2 linked regions of the Drosophila melanogaster genome follow. The protein of the gene in region 2 interacts with the protein of the main gene of each other region in a pairwise test. Each region holds a gene or a part of one and is shown on either strand. Other genes may lie near its edges.

Region 1 (4,539 bases), on a different chromosome or scaffold from region 2:
AGGTGCCAGCCATCCAGCCATCCGGGCATCCGGGAGTATGGGCGGCATTAAAATAACCAGCCAACCGATTCAACGTCAAGCCAGAGCCCAGAAATGAGCATGGCCAAGAGAAATGGTAATGTGACTGGTCGAGAGGGCCCAGGTCCTGCTCGTCCTGGCGCCTGCTTTAGGGGTCTCCGTTTGCGACTCCTTCATTTTGCACTACTTTGGAGCATTTTCTCAATGTCTCTCACTCGACAAAATGTCGACAGCGTCGGCGGAAACCATTAATTTTGTCACTTTCGGAAGTGCAAAGTGGCGAGCATGTGGGAGCATGTCGCTGGCCGAGCCAATGGCCAGGTCACCAACTGGCTGGTCAATAGTGAGAATCATGAAAGGGCAATTAAAGTCGGGCACCTGTGTGCACATATCCGCGAATATAGCTTACCGCCGACTGCCAAACAAGTTAATTGCACAGACCGCAGGCCACACGACACTTGATAACCGCGAAACCACAACAGTCGTAAGTTGGCTTAATAATTACAAATGTATAATTTCATAGTAACGAATGATGAGGATTGTCCAGTCACCAAACGCTAGTCGAGTCACAAAGGATCATGCTTAGAAGTAAGGAGTGATTAGGGGTGGGATTAAAAGTCATAGCCACTAGTTCCACTGTTCAGTCTTCGATGACGCACATGATGTTGATACCACTTTTGCCAAGATTTACGCACTCCAGAGCAGAGTCCTGGTGCTGTCGCATATAAATTAGGAACTGTATGATAACGTAGAACAGGTTATTCCTATCGTAGACGCAGTTGTGTAGTTCTTTGTCGCTGATAAAGTTAAATTTAGGGTTAAGTGGGTTGCCGGTACTTAAAATGGCGCAGTGGGCCTTGTTGTGAACTGCGTTCACCACGTCCTTGGTCGAGCTCTTCTCGTCGCGAATTAACACGTAGCGGGAGTGAAAGGGTCGTCCGCCGCCCTGCGGCAACGGCATCAACTGGCTATCCAAGTACACGCAAAATAAATGGAATATTATCTGCAGAATGAGGTTACAATTAATCAAGAGTGCTCAGTTGCGGAATTTCGTATACTCACAGCTGCATCGGTGGGCAAATGCTCGTCCCGCTGCTGACCGTTGTGTGTTTTGCCCGAGTACCAGCGGTAGTCAGCTATGCAAGAGCCCTGCGCAAGCTCCTTGATGCGCTGCACCAGGTATTCCTGGTTGCTGAAGGTGTCCAGGAAAGGTAAGAGCATGGGCAACATGGGCGCACACGTCTGCACGAACTGCTGGTTCTCGGCTGTTTTGCGTAATCTCTCTACACTCACAGATCCAATTTTAATGTCAATCAGAGCTCGCTGGCGGAAAACATCGTCCACATAATTGATCTCTTTGACCAAACGCTGAAGTATGGTCGTAGAAATCCACTAGAAAATGGTAAGACATTAGTACGTTGCAGTGGAATATTGAACGGGATGCTTACAAATCTTAGGTTGGCCACATATTGCGACAGTTTGTCCGTGGATATGCGCTTGATGACCTCCGAATTGCTGTCCCTAAACTGAATACCGCCAAACTCCTCAATCGAGGTGGGAGCATTTTCCGTAGAAACAGCCGGAGGTGGCGATAGTTGATAGATGGTGGTCTTGAGCATATAGGCCGCATTGTTGCAGTAGTTCCAGAAGGAGTTGGCCGATCCCATGCTCTGCACATTGGGTGTATCCGAGCTGTCCATCATGCTGCGCTCCCGATCCGCCTGCTTCATTAGACTGGTCAACTTTCGTGTATCGGTCATGAAGTCATCGCGTCGCACCTCCGCATACGGGGACATATAGGTAGACTCGTTGCTCAGATTGCTGGCATTCAGCGAGTTGTTTCGAACCATCGAGGAGTTGTAAGAGGTGTTTTGTTTCGTCTGCTGCGGCGTCCTTGTGGGACTGGGGCTGCGGCGCATGGATTGCGAGCCCCAGCAGGAGTCCTCGAAGGAGGAGTGCCAGTTGATGATGGGTATGTCGTCCTCTATATCGCTATCCGGTTCGTAGCTGCGTGGTTTCATCACGGCTCGGGAGCAAACTGTACGAAAAGAGTTCTCTATAGGAATAAAAGTGGTTAAGTGGATGCGTTAGAACGGGTTCCTTTGGATTCCTCACCTGCCTTGCCATCAAGCAGCCACTTTTGGATATCGCTACCCGTAACTTGGTCACCACCAAACCATAACCACAAATACTTGCCGAAGCAGGCGAGTGCACTTAGGCCAATCAGGGTCGTAATGGTGCACTCCGCCAGGAACCAGTAGGTCCTGTAGGCGGACCGACATGCCTGCCAGAGGTCGAAGAGGAGTAGCGACAGCAGCACCACATTTATGGAGCACCACTTGAGGTAATGCCGCGCTTGGGCGCCCTGCAATCGCAAGTCCAGGCTGCGCTGCACCACTGGGTTTTTACTCAGCGGCGAGCTGAGGAGCATTCATGGGTTAATTTTCTGAATTCTACACTAGTTTCTGTCACTTACCAATTAGTCCGTGTAAAATTCATTGCCTACTATGTGATAATTATTAGAAAATCACCTGAATAGGTCGAAAATGCCGGGAAAACTTGTTTGTAAGTGATAGCACAGACAAAAAGTTAGAATACCACAAGGTCAAAAAATAAATACCGTTTGGAATGAAACGCGTTATGTACTTTGTTGGCTCAAGATACCTTAGCGGAGACACTTTCCCTAGCGAAGACACACACCTATCGGCGATGTTTTCTTTGGTATGGATCAATATCCATGATATCATATTTTTTAATAGAACTAAAATTATTTTTATGATTTTTAAAATGATTTTTTGTTTATCCGAATGTTTAAAGCTATTCACCCACTCTAAACGTATTACTTATCAGCAACTTTTAATTTATCATTTAAATGCAGTGTTTTATAATATTTTTTAGAGTAGTTATAAAATTAGCTGTTTTTTAAACAAATTTTTTCTCTATCTTCAATATATTATGACATAAGCCGTACAAAACCGAAGACTCAACAATTTTGCAACATTTATGAGGACGCTAAAAAATTCCTTAATTTAATTTAATTTAGTTTGTTTTTAATGATATAAAATAACTTTTAATTTATTTCATTCCCTAAGTAAATTGTATATAATTGTGTACACATGCAACTAAATGTGTATTCTCAATAACTTAAAAATATTTTAAAATAAATATTTATAAAATATAACTTTTTTGTTTAAAAATTATACATTCCTTAGCGCACTGGGATGACTGGGGCTCGTCCGGGAATTGAACCCGGGACCTCTCGCACCCGAAGCGAGAATCATACCTCTAGACCAACGAGCCGGTTTGAACCTCAGTCGACTAATTACGCAATCTAATGTAAAAAAAAAACTTACATATAGCCATTACAAAAGGTTCCACAAGTCACTTAAAATTACGTTATCTTATTCTCTCCATATAGACAACTAATTATTAGGCTCTCGTAGCATTAGACCCTTAATTTAAATTATTTAAATTATTAAAATTATTTAAATGCCATCACTGACTTTAAATAAAAAACACGCTTGTAACTATATGATATATTAAAAATAATATCTTATATATTGTTTCCTGATTTAATACATTTTCGAGAGGACGGTACTTAGATAGAGCTATTCAGTTTTGCATCAGTATTCCCTGATCGTAAAGCCCGCTTCACTGCCCTTCTTCTCCTTCTTCGTTTGCCAACGACTGTAGGTCCGACACCCACTCCCACACCGATCCCCGGAACAGGAGCTAGTTGCAGCAGGAGAGGATTACTGACCAGGGCGGCGGCGATGCCCAGAACGGTGGCACTGGCCAGCGGAATCAGGAAGCTTTTGGCCAGCAAGGCCTTTGGTGAGATCTCTGGCGATCCCTTGTGGGAGACTATCTCGTGGGAGTCGATGGGGTAGGAGCTGTAGGAGTAATCCACTGCTGGCCCCGGGTAGTGGCCATGTTCGGGTCGAGGTCGATAAACGTGGTATGGCACCCCTGCCTCTCCGCTGGAGGAGTAGGTGTGCCCAGGAGCAGGTCCTGGCTCATAGCCATGTCCGTTGGATGGTCCGTAGTCATACTGATAAGGTTGACTGTCATAGGCGTAACTTTTGCCAGCACTTCCACTGCTGCCATAATGCCCTTAAATAGTATTAAATATATTTTTAATGAAATCTACAATAAACAACAGTCATCAATTTCAAATATTAATCATTTTAAGTTTGAGTTTATCTTTGTAGAATATATAGATTGAGTAATCTTTGAACTCACCCACGCTTATTCGATCGTGTATATTCCCACCTAGTTTCCACTTATCATAGGCCTGGCTAAGGTTATCATTTAGGTCACTAGCTTGGGAGCCATGAGCTCCTCCAAAAGGCGGCAGCGCACCAATGGGCTTGGATATGAAGCCAGCTGCAGTGCTATCCAACTTGGATGACGATGAGCCCGGTCCGCGGTAGAACTCCGGGGGAGGATCGTAGCTCTTGGCTACTGCGGAGCCCACGGGGTCCAGTTTCACGATAGCCTGTCGTTTCCGCGGCTGCATGG
Region 2 (6,222 bases):
ACCGTGTAATAAAGTACATGCACTTTGTACTTAAAAACATAACGTATATTTCAGTTAGGCAACCTAGAAATGGCCTCCCATTGCGTTAACCAGTTACATGAAATAGGATCGCTAAAAAACAATGCGCCAGGATTGATCAACGCCGGCATAGTGGAATTGGACTCGCACAACCTAATATTAGCACGCGAACGGTTTGAGGGAGCTCTGCAACTTCAGCCGATGAACTTTGAAGCCAGGTACAATCTGGGCCTAGTGGCCTTGGCGCAGAATGATTATGAACTAGCCGAGGAGCGTTTCGAGTTGCTAAAGGAACAACTTATGATGCCCAGCTCAGGTCATGTATTTTGTCAGCTGCAGGAGCGTAGAATTTCATCTAAACAGGAACAGCGCAATAATTAACCAATTAAAATAATTTAAAATAAAAATTGTATAAAATTAAAAATGATTTTAAGATTTTTCCCATAAGCCCTTTCCAGCAAACGAAAATCATTATTGTGCTTGGTTTTAAATATTATTTATTACAGTTAAGGTCAGGAATACACACATTTATATGCCCCAATAATAATGTTTAAAAAATATAACATTTGAATAGAATGTATACTTGTTGGTATTGCGTACAGGTTTTTGCCTTAACAATAGAAATGTCCTCTCTGACACCACCTTTTTAGGGTTAACACGGTAGCTACATTATAGAGATTAATTTATTTAGAAATTTTTTTTTTATTTTACATTTACATTGCTCAAACCAATTAAATAAAACACAAATATCAGCATACAAGAACCAATATCGGACACTTACAAAGACAGAGACGTAAAAAAGTTTTTAAAGAACCGTTTTATTATTCTAAACCCAATTGCGCTTGATGATTTCGATGACCCTCTTGAAAAAAAAACTAATTCAACTTCAACTAATCAATTTTGGCTTCCAATAATAAAAATCAATCTTAAATTTCTCTCTAACAATTTGCTGTCCATACTCCTTTGATTCGCAACCTGCCCAATTAAGCTGATGTCCTTCTATTAGAAGCTCATGTAACCGCGGGAGGTGGAACGACGCCTAGCACACAGATATGATATTAATACCACCAAAATTAATGCAGCTAAAGCAATTCCAACGGCAATGGGAACCACATCCGAAGTTTCCGAGCTATCGCAATCGTGTCCAACTGAGAAACCAGTGTCGTTGGCCCTCCGGAAAGCCTCCACCTGAACATGACTGACGCTGATCCAACCAATTAACTGCTCAGCATCGAGTGTCTCAGTCATATTTATCTTCTGAACACGAGTGCAGTGATACGACATATTTTCTGGTGTCTTAAACGCTCCGTCGCTCCTGGTAATAAGCTGAACCGTTTGATTTTCTGGAATTGGGGATTATTCGACACAGATCTGTCTACTATTTTTTATATTTTCTTACCCTTTGCATCTGGAAAATCCTCAGGCAGCAAAGCCAGATGAATTTGCATAAAGGAAAGCACAGTGGTGTCATTACTTTTATTAAAATACATAATTAATGATTGCTTTGATGTTTCTGGTCCCCAAATCAGATGAATAAACTGAGTAGTCTGGCTTTTACATTCTGCATCTTCAACAGATGCGTTGCTGGGGATGTTGTACAGACCGGTGGTAAAGTTTCCCTCTAAAGATAAAAGTCTTCGTTAGTCGGATATTCTTACAAAGATGCAAGTTTTTTTTAGTTATAATAATATATGAAGTTAGAAGTAAGTATAATTGCTTATTTAAGTACAAATAATAATTAATAAAAAGCGTTTGCCCATTAGCATAGATGGACAGACTATTCCAGCTTTCAAATTTCATAAATTCGATTTTACCGAACCCAGCTTCCTTGAGCTCGACTGGGAAACGATTTCTTCTACCTGTTATACACTTTTTAATATGTTAAATACTGGTTTACTGATGAATTATTTAAAAGATAACTATTATAAATGGTCCAAAACGGAGTGAAAGTTATTAAGTTATATATACGATGTACTACTTATGTAAGTCTTGATACACCATTCGATTTAAACTAAAAACAAAAGAGATACCCGAAGAGGTAACCGTTACTCAGCTAGTGTGAATGCGAACGCAACTTTTATAATTTTTCTGGGATATCGATAGATATTGGGGAATAAAATGGGAAAAAAAATGGTTTGTGGACGTGGCAACATGGGTCAACAAACTTGCGCTCCGTCTTTATCCTTACGTTACCCTTAGTGCATCATTAGTGCATCACTCGTTATTGTCTGAAAACTTGATTATCATTTCTATGTGTACAGTGATGTAAATATAATATATATAATATACATACATATATCCTTACATATGTACATCTCTTTTTAATCTAAACTGAAATATTTGCCTTATCGATTTCAGTAAGTTCATTAAAATGTTAAAACTGTGAGACGAGTTTCTATAAAATCTAATAGAGCCCATACCTCACCAATGCCGTAATTCGATCGCAATCTAAATATGGATTTATTTTCTTACCCCTAGCCTCATAGGTAAAATTAAGTTGTGCCGCCATTTGAAGCATAATACAAGAGGTATTCCAAGCCCCAATGGATGGTTGCGGATATGGTTGCGGGGCAATGGTCGTGCTTATCACTGGTGCGGTGGTCGATGGTGATTCCGTTGAAGGTGTGGTAGATCTCGGAGTTATTGTAGAAGTTGATCTGGTTGTGATAGGTTTCTCAGTTGTTGTCGAAGACGTTGAGATTGTTGAGGAGCTGCTGGTCAGTGGGTTTGCTTGTTCCAGAAACAAATCACTAACATTTTTACCGACTCTCGGCAAGCCAATAAGCTTTTGAGAGAACACTAAAAGAAGAATTTTTAAAAATATTAAAGCTTTTCTTTATTAAATCGGAATTTTCTTTAAATTGACGTGAAAAAAAAATTATTTATTAGAGATTCAAATGTACATATGGTTAGCTCTAATTGTATTTCCTTTGTTCTCTTATCAAAAAATTACCCTTTGTTATTTATATTAGTGAGTTTGGACTTGATGGACAATTTATTTCCGTTTTCAGTGATTTGTAGAGATCCTATGAAAATGGCCGTACCGTAACATATTGTCAAATATTTATACAAACCAAATGTATAAGGTCGAAATCGAATTTTAAATTCGGTCTGGTTATAGAACTATTTAACAAGATAAGATTAGTAGGAACACACTACAAATTAAAAAATAAAAAATATTTTCTGATTTAATCATTTATCCTTCTGTTGCTATGCCGAAACATTTTATCACGCATGCTATAAAAAAAAATGTTTTAAATTGTTTATTTTAATATGTCTCCCCAAATATGTAGGTACATACATATGCCCAGTCTAGCTCCAAGTCTTTGTTGTCTTATCCGCTTATCATAGTCTGATAGTCAGAGAACCGACTATAGCGTTATCTCTTGTTGTTATTTTATCACAGATTGTTTTTTTTATGTCATATATTATTTTGTATATACTATGTGCACAAATGTCTAACATTGGTATTGAACAAATGACCCAAAATCTTGTTATATGAATTGACAGATAGTAACCAAAAACTAAAGTATGCTATATGGCGGATACAAATTTAATATGATATGCCGATTTATACACCCATGCATATAAATATTTTAAGTGCATAAAATAAATATGGATGCATACGGTGGCGGATGACTTTATCTGCATACAAAACTGTAAATTGCCAGAACAAATAAGCGAAAGGGGTAAAAATGGATGTTCTCCGGGGCTAACGAACGTAAGCGACACCATTTTTCTAGAAGAGTTATGAAAGGATAGCCAGATTACTGAAATAGGTTTAAAACCCTTGATCTACGAAGGCAAAACTCGCAATTCAACCGTTTACACCTTATTACGCCGATAAGACACTAACGCATATGGCGACGTGAACGGCACCGGAAAAATAAATTATGTGCGATGAACAAACGACATACATATACATATAAAAAGAACTGCGATGTATTATCACATTGAACAAAGGCCTCCAATGCGACGCATTTCATTGCTGTTTTAAAAAGGGTTTAATTGGCTTGGCACTAACCTGTACTGCTTAGTAAAAATAACATTATTAGTAATGCCGAGCAGGTCAACAATTTGTTGGCGAACATATTGAATGGCAATCTCACTTAAGTTGTGTTGCAGTTTTTCTATACGTTAATCTACTACACTGACACATACGTTTTTGTCTCGACTGAGCTAGTTTTTATTTTGACCTTCTTCATCAATAGTGTGACCGAATTTCTAAAAGAACTAAAATTAGCCCATATGGAACCGTAATAATAGTACATGTCCACTACAGCAAGATGTCTATCGATATTTAATGAAACTTATAATAATAATATACCAAAAAATATATTCTTAATTCCATAATATAATACAATTAGTACATTTTCTTATCAAACATTTAATTTCTGATCAATCGAAAGAATTATATGTATAACATGTTATAATTTTATCACGGGTTTATATAACACAGGTTTATAACACACAGGGTTTATAACACAGTGGAAATATTTATAAATTAATTTCCATATTTTGAGTTCATTGACTTAATGAAAAAATGTTAGGTATTACCAAAGACACTATAATAACAAGATGCGTAACGCCATACGATTTTTTGGCACACGATTTTTTCGCCGTGGCTCTAGAGGTGGCTCCAGGCTCTCTCGAATTTTTGTTAGAGAGCGAGAGAGCGAAGAGCGCTACAGCTAACAACTGTATGTGTGCACACGTATGCTCATGCATTGTAAATGGGACAAAATATCCCCTTCACCCTAGAGGTTCTTTGACGTTAAATCTATATTATTTTTGATCAATTGGCACCATGCGAAAAATTCTTGTTTTGCATTGCCTTAACGTTATTATTGTTTGAAAATAGATTAGAAATAGCCAAATCTATGTACATATTATCACAAAAATAAATTTCAAAAATGACTTTATGTAAGAATATTTGTCATTAGAGTATTCATATTGAGGCGTGTGAAAAATTAATATGGCAATGATTGTTGAGTGCTTGTGTCCGCACTTCGTGCCGCAAGATATGAACAAAGCAAAGACACTAGAATTATTCGTTTATCCGTTTACACATTTATATTTTTGTTTAATTCTAATTTGTCTTTCATCTGACAATTTTTTAAAAGCGAAATATTTTTTTTAAACACTTTTAATGTTAATGTTACATCATATTAAGTCAAATGACTTAATAAATATACTAAATAATTAAAGGAAGTACAATAGAAATTATTATAACTACTGTAATTTCATAAATTTCATAAAAATATGATAACTGTTTATTGCAAAAGTCATATCAAAGACACTAGAATAATTCTAGTGTCTTTGCTTTGTTCATATCTTGCGGCACGAAGTGCGGACACAAGCACTCAACAATCATTGCCTTATTAATTTTTCACACGCCTCAATATGAATACTCTAATGACAAATATTCTAATATAAAGCCATTTTTGAAATTTATTTTTGTGATAATATGTACATAGATTTGGCTATTTCTAATCTATTTTCAAACAATAATAACGTTAAGGCAATGCAAAACAAGAATTTTTCGCATGGTGCCAATTGATCAAAAATAATATAGATTTAAAGTCTAAGAACTTCTGAGGTGAAGGGCATATTTTGTCAAATTTACAATGCATGAGCATACGTGTGCACACATACAGTTGTTAGCTGTAGCGCTCTTCGCTCTCTCGCTCTCTAACAAAAATTCGAGAGAGCCTGGAGCCACCTCTAGAGCCACGGCCAAAAAATCGTGTGCCAAAAAATCGTATGGCGTTACGCATCTTGTTATTCTAGGGTCTTTGGCGGAACGGTGGAGTTTTTTTCATGGGAACTTTTTTATTTATTTATTTTTCGTTATTTACAGGTGAATCCTTAAAAATATAAAAGCTAAATGTTTTAGAAAAGTTTGGTCTAACTATGTATGTACGACTTTATTTTATGGGACTTAAGAAGGTATATAAAATGTGCAACTAAAAAATATGTATTCCAATTTTTAAGGAATATCTCCAATCGGAGAGCGTGTTCCAAAATGTTCCCTAAACCACCTTAAAGGACGTTTGCTTAAGGACATTTCAGGAATAATTCAAACATAATATCCACACTTTTTGAAATAACTGCATATCAGAGGGTCAGCCCTATGAACTAGGCCCCCACACAGAAAATAAGGCATAGAGCGTGTTCCATACGGAATGCCGTGCTTGTTGGCTT

Evidence for each region.
Region 1: the proteins of Lamp1 (region 2) and CG6479 interact in a two-hybrid assay, tested with the Drosophila melanogaster proteins (one large-scale study listed by BioGRID).

The regions. Positions count from the first base shown.
Region 1 is NT_037436.4:17,336,663-17,341,201, forward strand, and holds CG6479 (uncharacterized protein), read right to left. Parts: upstream 2,601-4,539; 5' UTR 2,518-2,600; coding exon 2,495-2,517; intron 2,475-2,494; exon of another isoform or gene 2,450-2,474; coding exon of another isoform or gene 2,439-2,449; coding exon 2,134-2,438; intron 2,075-2,133; coding exon 1,467-2,074; intron 1,411-1,466; coding exon 1,081-1,410; intron 1,022-1,080; coding exon 659-1,021; 3' UTR 510-658; downstream 1-509. Other genes in the region: CG13727 (uncharacterized protein), read right to left, coding at 3,617-4,131, 4,261-4,539.
Region 2 is NT_033779.5:21,571,382-21,577,603, reverse strand, and holds Lamp1 (Lamp1), read right to left. Parts: upstream 4,216-6,222; 5' UTR 4,110-4,215; coding exon 4,043-4,109; intron 2,818-4,042; coding exon 2,491-2,817; intron 1,640-2,490; coding exon 1,418-1,639; intron 1,362-1,417; coding exon 1,021-1,361; 3' UTR 501-1,020; downstream 1-500.